Linked DNA regions of Caenorhabditis elegans. The protein of the gene in region 2 interacts with the protein of the main gene of each other region in a biochemical or structural test. Each region holds a gene or a part of one and is shown on either strand. Other genes may lie near its edges.

Region 1 (7,968 bases), on a different chromosome or scaffold from region 2:
AATTTTTTTTTAAAAAAACCTTGTTAACGATTGAACAGAATCTCCAATCAAACTGTGAAGACTTCCGAGTTTCGCTTGAAATGCCAATTGATAGTTGGTCATCGGATTGGCAACCACTGTTGACGGAGCTCCAAAACTTGAATTTGAAGTGTCCAGGAATGATGATGTGTTTGGAGTTGACTGCCCGATTGTGTAGAATGGATCAGCTGGAAATTAAATAGAAACTTTCAGTTTAAAGCAGATTTAAACCAAGTTTTATCAAAAACCCACCAAATTTGAATATTCCGCCCAAGTTTTTTGAGATATTTTCTACTTGACCGCTGGAATTTCTAGAATTCTTACGGTCGTACGCTTGAAATCTATTATTCTTGAAAGCATTTACAAGCGAGGCCGTAGTAGAAGCCGTTGTAAACGAATTGAAATCAAAATTGAATGGAATTGAGAAATTCGGAGGCGGAAAAGTCGGAGCAAGCGGTGGTGCCACGGAGCTCGGTGCTTCGAGATTCGTGAGTGTAACACCATCAGATGCAGTTACTGTATTGCTAGTGGTACTAGATATCACACTAGTTGGCACATCATTGGAAGACGACGGAGCCCCACCAACCCCATAGTAATAGGGATAATACGAATAGTACGGGTTGAGCATCGAGAGGAATGTTCAATGTGGGATGGGATAGAGGTAATACAATAGGGATTGAATAAAAACCAATGTCTGTGGCCTTGTCGTTTTAAATATGAATGTGTGTGTGAGACACAGGAGAATGATAACGATGTGGGTGGCGCCCGGTCTTTTAGCCGCCACAGGAGAGCCGTTGTGCATAATTTTGATTCTTTTTTGGTGTTGCCGCGACGTGCGCCCATTATAATAAAATAGTATTGGCACACAGTGCGGAACCCTTTCAGTGAGACCTCAAACGAGATGCGAACTACTAGTAAAATTATTTATGTGAATAGTTTATTACAGACTGATAAGGGTGAGAAATTCGAAAAATTATCACATGATAATGGTGTTAGGAATGTTTTGACTTTATAGATTGAGTTGAGCTATCTCAGAACAAGTTTTTAGGTTATTGTACTTGTTATACTAGTTCTATCAGTATTTCACTTCATTTTTAAATAGCTTACATCTCTGTTGCGAAAACTACAATAATTCTTCAAGTGACTACTGTAGCGCTTTGTCTATACGAGATATTTCGGCTAACAAGTTGCAAAATACGAATTCTCAGAATTTACGTAATCCAATTAATACCTCGTTTATTACTAATTTCACTCACCAAATGCTGGTTGTCCTCCATAACTGAGAAGGTGGCTTGGAAGTGGGGAATTGGTAGAGACGACAGTACTGCCAAAGTTATGATACGTGGGTTGCATTTGCATTTGAAGCCACGCGTCTGTTGAACTGAATCCCTGTTGTGCTTGTGGAGGAGGTGGTGGTGGTGGAGCATGATAGTAATATGCATCAGGAGTCGGATAACACATTGATGCAGCTGCACTTAGAGAAGATGATGAGCTATCATATCCACCAGATGATACCATATCAGTTAAACTTCTCGATAGAAGTCCATCATCACAATATAGATGTGGATGATGATGCTGATTGAGTGATGCAGCAGCTGCAGCAGCCGCCGCCGCGGCTACTGTAGACGCTGTCGACTCGGAAGAAGCTACCGAAGACGACTGATGATAATCCATCCCGGAGTGTCTTGGCGTTGAGGGCGACGATGGGACCGATGTGGATGGGTGGCGCGTGAAAGTCGAGTCTTGAAGGGGGGTCTTCGCGGTGCAGAAGCCGCTCTCGTCGTGGGATATCCGATGCGAAGATTCCCACCGAGAATAGTAGAAGCTGAATATTGTGGGGGAAAAACCGACGGTGGGGCTGGCTGTGGGTTTGTGAAGAACGAAGCCGTCTGTCAGCAAGAAGAGCACACAATGAAAAGGAGAGCGGGTGGGAAAACGAATAGTCTCCTCTCCTTTCCTTTCCTCACTTCGGTTTTCTTCCTTCTGCGACTCACAATCGCCACGCCTCCACGAAAACATTCTTTCTCTTCTTCATATAGTCTATAGCTTTTTCTGATGGAAAAGCACACAGAAAGACAAACTGGTAGATGGGCGGAGTCAGAGTATCCAATCAGAGAGAGAGAGCGTTGAGCTCTTCGGATATTTCATGACTGAATAGGTGAACGCTAATTGAGTGGCATCTGGAAACAAAGACGTTCAAAATTGAACCATCCTAATATAGTAACGGTCGCTTTCATTCACTTTCACTCATTTACATTAAATCTTAATCCTCACTTGTTGCCTTCCCGATGTACCATGTGTATACACAGGTGATCTCTTTGTTGCGTTCCGTCGTGGTGGTGGTGCCTCTCATCACACGAGAAGAGTCAAGAAAGTTATGGGATAACGATAAGACAAGAGGATCTCAAGTGATTCATGAGTGTGAATCTTCGTGTGAAAATCGATGGGTTGGTTGGTTGGGGAAAATTCTCGGGGGATGACTGATAGGGAAGAGTGCACATTCAGATATATGGAAAATCGGAATTTCTGGATTCTTGGAGACATCCGAATTAAATCATATCTGTCGAGTCAACCTACAAAGGGAACTTCTTACTATCTTCTCTATTGACTAATACACCTCATTTAAATTGCACTACGGCCATTGTCCACTGTGTGCTCAATTCAAAGAGCATGATGGTACCTCCAGGCACCTGTCGACCAGGTACAGTACTTTTCCTTGATAGCTCTCTGTCTTTGATCTATTTCATTCTATCATTATTCGTGTGAAGTGAACCATCTGCGTAACTCGATTCCTTGTGGTCTCTTGTCAAATAGAGATGAGCACCAAAAGTTCCCACATGAATATGGACAACTATGCATATTTTTATTCACTTCTATATTTATTTCACAGAACTGTGTCGGTCTCTTCCTTTTTGTTTTCCGTTGATTTCCAAATCATAATGAAAACAAGTTCCCCATCAAGCGATTCTCGAATTTTTCGTGCTTCGAGAGAGAAATCATTAGAAAATCAAGAAATCGTAGAGCTCCACACAAGAAGTCTAGGGAGAGCTGAGCTGAGCCGTCGGCACTGCTCAAATTATCGATCGACGTGGGAAAATTCGACGGGAAAAGAGAGTGGGCTTATGAATTAGCCACCAGTCGATGCAGCTAACAGAAGCACACGCGCGCTCACACTCTCACCATTCGGCGGTTTTCAGTTTCCCAAATAACAAGGGAAAGGGAAAAATTTTGAGGGAAATTTCAGTTGGAAGAACACATTTGCAAGGGAAAATCAGAAAAATGTATCTGATACGACTTTTTTTTGGGGGGAAAAAATGGTCTAGAACATGAATTTTGAAAGTTTACATATTTTTTAATTTTGAAAATTTCCAAAACTCACAATTTGTCGGCGAATTTTTCGACTGATCTTGCCCATTTGTTCCTTTCGAAGTTGATGCGACATCACTGTGGCTACTCGTACTGGGAGAAAGTCTCATTCGTTTTGCCGATGGAGATGCGAGTTCTGGAGTTGGCGATTTCTGAAATTGATATTATAACATTTTAAAATATAAGAATTTATTAGTGAAAACTAACCGATATAGTGTCAATTTTGGGAAATAAATTATTCTGCTGCATTTGAAATGTCATCAACGCTTGTATCTGAAATAAAATAAATCAAAAGTTGATAAAAATATCGAATTTTTGAACTCGAACACAATGGGGTGACAATCAATAAATGCAGACGTTGGGAAATTACAGGTCATCTCCGTACGCCTTTTTTGTCTATTTTAAATTATTTTAGATTCTAATATAGTTCAAATAACTAATAATTATAGTTTATAAAATTTAAAATTGCCCAAAATATTGAAATTTGAAAAATTCTTAGAAAAATTTCCAGTTTGTAACTTTTTAATGAATAAAAAACTAGGAATTCAAAAATAGGAACTATTTGGGAAATACAAATTTAGAAAATGTTCTCTTGAAATATTGATGCAAGTTTATTTTCAACATTATATATCTGAAAAGTGAGTCCCAGCGACAATACGAGAAATGTTATGGGAGAAAACTAAAGGCTTTTGTGAATATTTTTCGTGCTTCGGGGGACTGGGAAAATTGATTGATTCGATTAGAAATGATTTTGAGAAATTTTGTGAGAAACGGTTTTTTCTGAGAATATTTAAGCAAAAAACTCAAAATACATATCTAAAAATGAATATTCTTATAATATGAAAGGAAGGAAAAAAGGGCCTAATGATAAAAAAAAATTCGACTTTTTGGAAGTGACCAAAATAGAGCCCATTGTTGAATTTTTCCGTAGGGATTTGGGATTTTTAATATTTTGCCGCTGGTTTCAGCGACTTTTTAGCGAATAGTTCAGTTCTCATTTTTAGGTGTTTTAATTTTAAAAATACTACTCCATGCGCCGTTTTTTTCTTGAAAATCGGAAACTTATTGTCAAGTTTTTTCGAAGGGGGAGTAGATTTTTTGAGTTTTTGCCGAACTATACAAAAGCTGGCCTGAAACGAACCAATTTCATAACGAAAATTCTCAAAAAAAAAACCGGCAATTTTTTGAAAAGTCTCGTTATGAAATTGAAAAAATTGAAAAAATTCAGTTGTTTCGGGCGAGTTTTAGTTAATTTGACCAAAACTGTAAACTTTAATACCCCTTTAACTGGGCAACATGACATTTTTACTTTCAATTTTTTATTTATTGCTGTAATTTTGATATTTTCCGAATTTTTAGAATTTTCTGATGATTTCTACTACCAAAATAAATCAAATCTCACCTGTTGAAGTGCGGCAATTTGGCTCGGCGCTGCAGCGACACCGGCCAGCGGCGATACCGACTGGAACATTGCTTCTGGAACTCAATGATACGTTGTTTGAAATTTCGATGGATTGATTACGAACTTACCTATAAACTTATCCAGATTTCGTGCGGGTTCACCCAGTCTGAAAATTAAAACTTTAATAAAACTTCATGGAAATTATCCAAAGAGGTTTTTAAACAATTAGAGGGACGTGTCAAAAAGGGAGCACCTCCGAATATAATGCTCTCGGAAGAAGAATGAAACTGCCGGGGAGACACATACACGAAGAATCGACAAAATCGGGAGGTGTGCGTATGTTTTATCACTTCTATTCCCACCACTTCGACCTCCGCCTCCGAATCGATCATTAAATTTTGTCGTCGATTCGGAGAAAAGAATATCGGTAAGGAAGCAGAGGTACGGTACTTGTGCGACAAAACGGAGCACCCACACATATTATATTCGTATACGAGAAGAAGAAGTTTGATGGGTTTCGGCGGGATTTTTATGTCGGAATATGGTAAGAAACAAGAGATCGGACAACTAAAAAAGCAGGAGTGTGAAGCTTTGAAACGAGAATAGAAGATCCACGGAATCACTTAAATCTAGTATTTTCAGATTGAAGATGAAATTCTGAGAGAATCCGATCATGAAAACGATTATATTTGAAGCGAATACTGTATTTTTTTCAAATGTTCTTCGAGTTTTAAGTTTGAAAATGACAAAATTTTGAGATTTTCAAACAGTTTTTTTCAATAATTTTTAAATGCATATATGTTTCTTTGATACTGTAAAAGGTCATAGATGAGTACGAATTTTTGGGAAAGAAGAAATTAGCCTTCGAAATCAAAAATAAAATTTTGAGACGAACAATGCTAATATGGAAAAGAAGAGCAAAAAAGATTTGAAAAATTGCGGTAAAATCTGATTACAGAAAGAAGCTCGAATTGAATAAATTTCTCAGAATCGAAAAAGTGCGTTAATTCTAAAGTAGAACAAATTGCTTTGAGTCGGATAACTGATATAACGAATTGAATGCTCAAAATACTTTCCTTTCGACCTATCGAATGCTCCAATTCCATGAATTCTAAAATTTATCCTCAAATCTGAAAAAAATGCACTCGCAATTATTTTATTTTTTTACAAACAAAATACACACAGATTTTTTAATTTTTTTTGTATCGTATATGTCTGATATCTAATTTCGCCGCCCTCGTTTAAATGTGTTTACAGTTATAAGTTCCACATTTATCACCACTTTTTTCTCTGCAAAAACACTTTTTTGGTGATGAAAATGTGAAGAGACCGACCTATTTTTCGTATTGTACATTTTTGTGTGATATGTGGATTGGATGCGCAAGAGGAGGAAGAAGACGGTTACAAAATGATGATGAAAATTGCCATAAAACAAATGATCTACGACAACGGGCGGGATGAACACTTTCTTTTTTCTGACTTTTCAACACATCTTATTGCAGAAAATATTTCCACGCCCAAAGCCGAGAAAATGATCAATTTATCGAGGGAAAAAAAAGAGTATTGACTGCGTGAAAAACAGGTTTCTAATGATATCAACTTGAACCTGCAGGGGGATTCCCCCGTTTTTATTGGTGAGACAGAAGAAACGTGAGAGATTGTGATGATAAGAGAAGAGTAATTAGAGAAACAAGACAAATTATTTTTGGGAAAAGAAATATGACATCGATCAGATGATTGTAATCAGCTGGAGAGTAGGGTCTTTTTGATTTCGAAATTGTTCAGCACATTAAAAAAAATTGAAATTCCTATACAGTTGGCTGGCCGCTTCTGGATTAAAAAAAAATTTCCTTATTCTGTACTACCGTTATTTTAGAGAAAGGAGGAAAATTTCCAAAAAGTACTAAAAAGCCGATTGGAACACGGAAAATCACACCCCAGATTGAAATGGGGTCTATTATCGAATTTTTCTGATCGGATACTTCCTTTACCTTTATATGTATAATTTTTAAAGATCTAAAAAGGGAATTTATGAAAGAAGACAAGAAAATTGAAATACGATAAAGGGGGAACGAACTTTCTTACTTTGAGTGAAGTCTCGTGTTTTTTAACTTTAATTGTTCATTAAAAAAGAGAGTTTTGGATTTCTGCGCAACTTTTAACAATTTTGTGTCTTTCCAATAAAAAAAAAAGAATTTTCTTATTCAGCTCAACAACTGCTCGGCTTGAAAAAACCTCCTTATTCAAAAAGTCAATCACACAACTCCTTTTTTGAACCAACCGACACTCTCTCTCTCTCACGCCTAATAACTATTTTAATCTCCAATCTAATCGGACACTTTTACCACCTCTAATGCACCGAGAGATTCGGATTGTGTGTCGGTGCAGGTGCAAAGTATGGAACAATTTATAAAATTTACAGTGAAATAACGACGATTCGAGTCTCTAATTATTACAGTACTAGAAGCCAGTGAAGAATCATCAACGGTCGTCAAGGAATAGGTGATGAGATAGGAAAGTGTTGCTGCTGCTGCACACAAACACGGACACATAAAATTGTTATATTGAATAGAAAAAGAAGACGACGGGGTCATGTTGGGTAATCGGTAAAAGAGGAGCTGCTGGAGAAGGTGTGAGAAGAAACGCAGAAAAAGTAAACATAAAAGAAAAGAGAATCAAAGAAGAGAAATGCAACATGTATCCACGAAAAGGTAATGTTCCTTGGAATGGTTGATAAATAGGCGAAGTTTGAAATACGAGAGGATGATCTTAGAGGTGTGAAGGATTGGAATAATTCAAATTTTTTGTACAATCTAATGAGGAATTATTATTACCCAGATCGTGACGAGACCTGCCTTCACGATTCCAGCTTTAATATGATTACGATGTAGAAAATTCAAATACTGGCATAGAATATATAACTAGTTTTCAAATTCTACAGAGAAAATATCGAAATCAAAAACTGAAATTCCAATTTGTATCCAAATAAATAGCTCTTCAAAAATCAGGAAAAAGCATCTTTCAGATATTTTTTTTAATCAAAAAATTCGACCGTCACCGCGTCATGTGCGAAATTGCCCAGAGCATCATGGGAACCTCAACATCAAAACATTGAGAAACTGACTGGTACTGACCGCCGCCGTCGCCAGCGACACCTCAGTCATGACATTTTTTGAAAATGT
Region 2 (8,187 bases):
AGCAGCAGCAGCTTCGCGAATTAAAAAAACAGAATGACGAAGCAGCAACCACCTCCTCCGCATTGCTGAAACAACAAAAAAAGGAAGGACTTTTTTCCGAAGAAATGTATCTAAACCCATTGTGGGAATAAGCGAAACGAAACGAAGAAAACGAAATAGAAGAGAGGCATATTTCTATACTTGATGCGACGAGCGTTTTTCTCCGTGTGTGTTTATAAACGCACAGACACGCAATCTCCCGTTGTTTCAAATGTCTTCGAGTTGCTTCTCCAGACCGGTGTCATCCACTAGAGGGGCTTCTAAAACCGTTTTTCAACTGGCTATGATGATGATTAATTGGTGGAGCTCGCCGGAGCCAGAAGCGACTAACTTTGATGATGCTACTGATAAAAGGATGTGACGGATGAAATATGGGGTTTTCCAATAGAAAAGCTCGAGTATAGAAAATCAAAAATTCAAACTTTTGCAATTGCAGAGACGGAAAAAAATTTGTGGCCGAGTTTTACTTTTTCGCGGCCACGTAACATAAAAAAGGTGAAAAGTCTTCAAATTCCATGATTCTCAACTTTGGAGTGAATATTTTTGAAAGCCATCCCTGTTATATTTTTCCGAGAAGAAATGAATATTTGGGGAAAAAGTTGGTTCGCAAAAAAAATAGGAAGCCACATGTTTTTCTCGTCGTCGTTTTCTGGTGGCTCGGAACTAAACCGCAGAATTGGCGCACGTGTTTGTTTGTCTGTTTTCCTTCTTAAAGATTATAAAAAGTGAAACATGCAACTGAATGGTCACTACTTGTTGTTTCTATCCACGGAGAGACATAGACGGCGTCAACGATCAGGTCGTAGTGGGCCACAAAACGAGGACACAAACATAAACAAACTCGTATCTGACTGACTGGTTGAAGAAGGAGCAAAAAAGCGATACGGAGAGCGGAGAGATAGCGAGAAGGAGGTCATAATCGTGGCATCCTCACCCAACTGTATGCGGGACGAAGAGGAGGCCAAATTGCAACAATAACAAACCGTGATCGCCTCGTTGCTGCTGCAGCTATGGAGCGAGCGACGAGAAGACGGATGGATAGTATGGAGACACACCGCCCGTAAAAGGGAGAGAAGGAGAGAGACAGGAAGGAATGGACACTGTACGAGTTATATGCAGCGAGCCGATGGATCGATGGATAGTGTGTTGAATATTGAGAGACGCAGCAGCATGGCAAACGACACCTGCACGTGTTTGTGTATGTGTGTGGTACACCCTCCAAAAAGGGCCGTCATAATCGAAGAAGAAGATGAAATTGCCGAGAAGGAGGTATTAACCGGATCAACTCAATTGGCATACACAGGGAAGATTCGGGTACTTTTGATGTTGGAAAATGGTCTGGAAAGTCTAGATCTGGAGAAAAAGTTACTGTGCAAAATAGAGAACATAACTTGCTATATCCTGAGAAAAAGCATTGTATGAACTGTTGGATCTGATAGAATCCCAAAAAAACTTCAGTTAGACTGCTCGGTGGCTCAAACTTCACGTCAGCACTGTGAAATGAAAAGTTGAGAAGTCTTCGTCTAAATTTCCGCAATTCTCGTAGATCTAAGTAGATCAACCCGAAATGGGACACTCTCACACCAAGTGAAGCTTGCTACTCAGATATCTTTTACGTTATCGAAAAATTGTTAACTGATGTCTCTACAAAACTTTGAAAATCTAAATTTTTATAGCAATTTAATTGTACAAACCATGGCAGAATTAATTGAAAATTTAGAATTGTAAAATTACAATTCTTTCAAAAAATTGGTTAATCTGACCGATGGAGAGTTCTGACTACTAAAACCTACAAATATGGATACGATAGCCAGGTGTCCTTCATTTTCAACTTGAAAAAAAAAAGTTTTTCACATTACAAAAATGGACGAATCCAAAAAAAAGCGAGTTGCAGGTGTGTGCAATTATGACACAATGCCTCTTTTTTTGGAATGAATATTCCTGGAACTGAGCCAGTTATTGGCAGCCGGTAATTATAGAGGTCACAGGTGGAACCAGAGGACTTGAGATAAAATCTAGAGCATTAGAAAGAAGATTCTGGAAATTGCAGAGATTCGAGGCAGGGGTGGATGGGAAACGATTTTTCACGGCAAATCGGCAAATTGGCAGAAATTAAAATTTCTGGCAAACTGGCAGAAATGATAATTTCCGGCAAATCGGCAAATTGCCGGAATTGAAATTTCCGGCAAATCGACAAATTGGCAGAAATGAAAATTTCCGCCAAATCGGTAAACCGGTAAACTGCGAGAAATGAAAATTTCCGGCAAATCGGCAAATTGCCAGAAATGAAAATTTCCGGCAAATCGGCAAATTGGCAGAAATTAAAATTTCTGGCAAACTGGCAGAAATAATAATTTCCGGCAAATCGGCAAATTGCCGGAATTGAAATTTCCGGCAAATTGGCAAACCGGCACATTGCCGATTTGCCGGAAAAACGGCAATTGCAGAAAAGTTTCGGCAAATTGTGGTTTTGCATTTTGGAAATATGAGAATTTCAATTCTAATCGGCAAAAACAAAAATTGGCAATTCGCCGGAATTTAAAATTTCCGGCAAATCGGCAAACCGGCAAATTGCCGGAATTAAAATTTGCTTGAAATTTCTAAATTGCAAAAATAATTAAAATACCAAAATTTTGCAGAGCACTTCAAATTAAAAAAAAAAAAACTTCACAATGAAATGCAAGTTTTTAGGTTCAAATCAATTTCAATCTTCTCAATTTCATCTAAGAATTTCACTCAATTGTCTCACATAGACATTTACACTGAAAAGTGCGGACAGGTTATCAAAAAGTCAGTCAAAAGGACGAAAGCATTGGAGGTGCGTGATGAGAAGAGGCGACAACGACCACATAAATGATTTGGCAGTTTAGTCCCGGACGGGCGCCATCGTCGAATTTTAATTGGTTCCGTTGTCTCTGTCGAAGTGAAGGAGATGGAGATGGATGAAATATTGAACAAAAAATGAAAAAGTTGGTGAAATTTAGATTGCATTTAGATAGAGAAAATGAATATTTTTGGGTGAATTCTACTTCAAAAATTTCTAGGAAAAGTGTGTGTAAATACGGATAATAGGAGTTTTCAAGGAACACTGTCTAGGGTCAACTTCTCAAAAAAGAAAATAATAATATATTTTCAGAACCAATTTTAGAAGGACAAACTAGCTCAATTTTCGAGGTTTCTCGGCAATGTTACAGGCTTTTTCTTAAATAGAACAAAAATTACGCTTTGAATGGGAAATGCACCAAGAATTGGTGAAAATCCTCGGGGAGTACACGAGCTGCGTAAATCGACACGAGGTTTTTTATAGACTTTCATGGTTTTTTTTTTCAAAGTTGGGAATCATGAATCACACCAAATGTTACAAAAAAAAAGTATGTGATTTCAAATTTTTAAATTGAAACTATTTTCTCCTTTTGAATTTTTTTGTCAATATTCAAAACAATATTCAATTTTTTCAGCAATTTTTCGGGAAAAAACATTTAAATTTTTTGGCATTTTTTAGTGGAATTTTTTTGTTTTCTGCTACCAACAAATCTTAAAAGTATAAAAAATTTTATATTTTTCTCGCTAATTTCAACTTTTCATCAAAAATTATTGTGTATTTTCAGCAAAAAATTTATTTTTATTTGCTGCAAATTTTGCTGGATTTTTTTTTTGGTTTTTTAAACAAAATTTGATTTTTTTCAAATTTTTTTTTATCAATAGAGTGATTTTTCTTGGTAAATTTAATTTTAATTAAAAAATTTCAATTTTCTTAAATGCGATTTTTTTTCCAAAATTTTTTAGCAAGAGAGTAGTTTTTCTTGGTAAATTGTATTTTAATTATATAGTTTTAATTATCTAAAATTCAATTTTTCAGGTAGTAAAATCCAGTTTTCTATACGAAAAAGCAATTGAAATTTTTTTTTCAAAAGCCACTGGAAGTTGACAAATTCGGCAAATTGCCGGTTTGCCGGATATCAGATTTGCCGGAAATTTTTAGAAGGATTTTTTATAAGACGGAACCCTGAAAACTGTGCTTTTTTGATATTTTTTCCTATTTTTTTATTTTCATAGAATTTGCTTATTTTTTCGGAGTAAACATGTAAAATTGAGGCAATTTTTAGGTAAATTTTTTCCCGGAAAATTCAAAATTAAAGAGAAAACCGCACCTTGGCTCCGAAATAAACATCTCCTCAATCACAAAGAATTCCGAGAGATCATCCATCGACACATATGAGAGTTGATGCCTGAAAAAGAGCCCAAAAATTGGAGTCTCTGAGACTTTCATACATTTTCCGCTTCATATATTTCTTACTCGCGGGGATCTATCCACCAAGTTGTTCAACAAATTTCAAGAAACAAATATTTTGGATAAATTTTGTTGGAAAAAAAACTCTGGGGGTACACAATGAAAAACAGAAAATGATAAAGAGATAAATAACAATTAAAAGTGAATCCTAAAGAAATAAAAAACAAAACAAAAAAAGAAGAAGAAAAATCCTATTCACTATTAAAAGATAGAGTACCGAAATCAGATTCAAAATGTCCCAAAACTTTCGAATTTTATAATGAAAAGTTCCGAAAATTTCTCAAAAAAAGGTTTTCGCAGTTCAAAGTTATGGAAAAATTCGTATTTTCAGCAAAAAAATCAATTTAAGGTTTTTTTTTTGGTTTTTAATCTAAATTCGATTTTTTTCCAAATTTATTGTTTATCAAGAGTCGTTTTTCTTGGTAAATTGTATTTTAATTATCTAATATTCGATTTTTCAACTAATTTTCTACACCGAAAAGCCTAAAAACTTTCGGAACTTGTTGTTTATTTAATTAACACCTTTTAATACATAGTTTAATTAATTTAGATACATTTTCAATTGATGGGTGCACAAATTTTATATAATTTTGTGCGCTCTCAACGAGTAAACGCGTAATATATTACTAAAATATGCATTAAAAGGAAATAAAATTAAAAATTAATTCCGCATATTGATTTTTGTTTCGGTTTTTTTCTGAAAAATAAATCAAAAATTCTGATTTTCTTTGAAAAAATCAAAAATTCTCAGATTTTCTATGAAAAAAAAATTGAAATTTGTTTTTACTTTCCCGGAAAAATCGAATTTTTTAAAAATTTTCTCCGAAAAAAATCGGAATTTATTACATTTTCTCAGAAAAACAAAATCGAATTTTTCAAAATTTTCTCAAAAAATCGCTTTTCTCTGAAAAACATCGAAATTTTTTGAACCACCCTAAATTTTTTTTTTGAGAAATTTTCAGAACATCTCATTGCGAAATTCGGGTTAAATTTCGGTACTCCACCTTCAAACAAAAATTTAAAAAAAAATTAAAATTAAAGAGCATTCTGAGCAGCAATCTGTTCCTGTTCGTGAAGTTTGTGAACCAATTTCTGTTTTTCCGTATTGAAATAATCAGCGAACCACTTCAAATGTTCCCGCTTCTTCGCTGCTGTCATATATGGATTCTTGGATAAACCAACACAAACCAAATGCATAAAATGAGCAATTGGACCAGATTTCGGGATACCCAATGATGGTAAATGTCTCTCCAAGAATACGTGATCAATGAATGAAACATTCGATTCATCGCCCATTTTGAACTCATTATCGATTGGATATTCCCATTGTTTTCCTTTTGTTGTCCATTCGATTTGTTCTTCGAAAGAATTTGTTGGTCCGAATGAGCCGTTGGAAATTCTGAAAAAAAAACGGTTTTTTTAAGGTGGATAATGGATTTGAATGATCAAATAAGTAAAGAAAATTATAACATTTTTCTACATTTTTCCAATTTTTCTTTCAATTTTTCAACACAAAAAAATGCCAAATTTCATGAATTGATTGACTTGAAACATTTTCTATTTTTCGTTTTCCTTTTTTGAAAATCAAAAAAAAATTGTTTCTCGATATTAGTTATTTTTCCGATGTTTCAATTTTTGATTTTTTTAATTAGCTGAATTTATGATAATTTTTCTTCTTTTTAAATGACATTTTTATGTTTTTCATCATCAATATGAACAAAATTAGATAAAAAATCGATTTTGATGGTTAATTTTCTGATCCAATTTTTTTTTGGATTTTTTAGAAAACCGGCAAAATTTCGTTAGTTTCCGTGAAAAAAGGAAAAAAATATCGATTTTTATATAATTTACATAAAATTTCAGACAAAAATCACGAAAAAACGATAATTTCAGCCGGAAAATGCGAATATTTAAAACAAAATTTTTTTACAAAATTGAAAATATCACGCAAAATTTAGAAAAATCTTTCAAAATTTTTAATACTTAGTTTTTCTGATAATTCACTAGTTTAAGCTAAAATCTTCGTTTTTGTCAACTTTTTCGCACCATAGCGACTGGAAATTGTTTTTATAGAATTATGAAGAAAAAACCAACGAAACAACGTTAAAAATTACCAAAAATGTGTGAAACAAATCGCTGCAAAACGGAAAAATTGAGAAAATCTGAGATTTCAGCTAAAATTAGCAATTTTTATCAAATTTCGGGATTTTGAGCCATTTGATTTCATAAATATCTACCTTGCAGCTCTTTCATCCCATTGTTTCCAGAAGCCAAGGGAAAAATCTTCATATTTTTCGCCCTTTTTCCAGATTCCTAGAGGCTTCTGATTGAACAATTTAATAGCATCATTGTCAACTTTCACAGGTTTACGAACAGCACTACTAATCAAATCATCCTTGTAAATCTTTTCCATAAATTCCAAGGCCATCGTGAACAACTTCTGATCCTTCTCACTTCTCTCCGTCTCTTCAACTTCTTCTTGTTCCACCTTTTCTCTAACATCATTTAGAAGAGCTTTTCGCTGCTCTTGGAGCTTTATCTGTGCTTCATTGACAATTGTCTCTGATTTGACACGAGCTTCTTCTGTCGTGAAGCCACTTTGAACTGCCTGATAGAAAATCTCTTTTCTGAGAAGAACAAGTCCTCGTTTTTCTTGTCGAAGTTGAGCGGATCTGGAAAAAAAATGAAATTTGTCACGGATCATTGAAAATGGCTCACTTGGGAGGAAGCTTCTTCTCAACTTTGGCATCGCCCGCCACATCGGCAAGAAGTCCGATAAGTGCCTGATCATCGAGCATTTCACTGCTTGCAGAAGCTGCGGCAGCATCAAAACTCGCTTTTTCGTTTGCTACTAATCGATTGATCAATGTATTTTTTAGTCTGCAAAGTTATATTTGAATCTTTTTTATTATTTTTCACCCTACGATTTCTTTTCGGAGCCATTCTGCGGGTGAATATTATTCGCTACTCCTTCAATCGCATTCAGCAAATCCTCATCAATCGCGTCTTTTGCACCTTTCTGGAAGAAACTGGTTTAAAACTTGAAAAATGAGCCGGAAAACTTACACCATCATTTCCATCGCCCGAAGCTGCGCTGGACAGCAATCGAGGTTGTCTTGCACCGCCAAGTCGAACAGCTATTGAGCACAGACTTCTCAGCATCTGAAAAATCAAATAAAAATAATATTAAAGACTTAAAACTAGAAAATATTGACGAAAATTGCTCGAAAAAACAGCGAAAAACTTAAAAAGAAATATTGGCTAAACAACACGCGGGTGCGGGATTTCGGAGTATCGTCGTGTGTACTCCTCTCGGGGTTAGTTTTTTTCTTCTTTTTTTCTCCGTCTGCCTGCATTTTCCCGCATTTTCCCACGCCTTATCGCTATGTTTTTTTTGACAATTTGTGTTCTTTTTGATTAAAATGTTTCTTATCTGAAATCAAAATGTTATCATTAAATAATATGTAATAGGAAAAAAAACAGAAAAAAACAAAACATTTTTTAAAAAAGATTTTTAATTTAAAAATCAGATATTCTAATAAAAAGCCAATAACATTACGCATCTTTTAGAGTTCTTCTTTTGGAATTAATTGCCACAATTTAGATGTCCTCTACCCGGCCCACTGAAGCTGTAAACTTCCGATTTTCTTCTTGCATCCATCTCCAAACAAATTCCCGTAGAATCTAAAAGCGTTCGGCAATTGTTTATTCCTTTTATTGCAAGAGTTCTCTTCTTGCAATGAAATTGATCGGTCAAAACAAAACATGAAAATGTGCTGCTGCTTCCCCCGTTACTCAGCTCTGCGAGCCCTCGAAGCCGCCGGGCGGTGCTTTCTTTTTTCCCCTCAAAAAGTGTA

Evidence for each region. Proteins that work in one complex are often made in the same cells at the same time.
Region 1: the proteins of sel-8 (region 2) and lag-1 are reported together in a solved structure, tested with the Caenorhabditis elegans proteins (one study listed by BioGRID).

Annotation. Positions count from the first base shown.
Region 1 is NC_003282.8:6,098,406-6,106,373, reverse strand, and holds the start of lag-1 (Suppressor of hairless protein homolog), read right to left. Parts: upstream 4,787-7,968; intron 3,658-4,786; coding exon of another isoform or gene 3,592-3,657; intron 3,537-3,591; coding exon of another isoform or gene 3,398-3,536; 5' UTR 2,038-3,397; coding exon 1,275-2,037; intron 207-1,274; coding exon 20-206; intron 1-19. UniProt on the Caenorhabditis elegans protein: Transcriptional regulator that plays a central role in lin-12/Notch and glp-1/Notch signaling pathways, involved in cell-cell communication that regulate a broad spectrum of cell-fate determinations.
Region 2 is NC_003281.10:3,622,875-3,631,061, forward strand, and holds the start of sel-8 (Protein lag-3), read right to left. Parts: upstream 4,269-8,187; 5' UTR 4,247-4,268; coding exon 4,191-4,246; intron 1-4,190. Other genes in the region: mrps-31 (Small ribosomal subunit protein mS31), read right to left, coding at 5,366-5,729, 6,568-7,002, 7,049-7,210, 7,255-7,349, 7,397-7,492. UniProt on the Caenorhabditis elegans protein: glp-1/Notch and lin-12/Notch proteins promote signaling by recruiting lag-3 to target promoters, where it functions as a transcriptional activator, probably as part of a complex with a Notch intracellular domain (NICD) and the transcription regulator lag-1.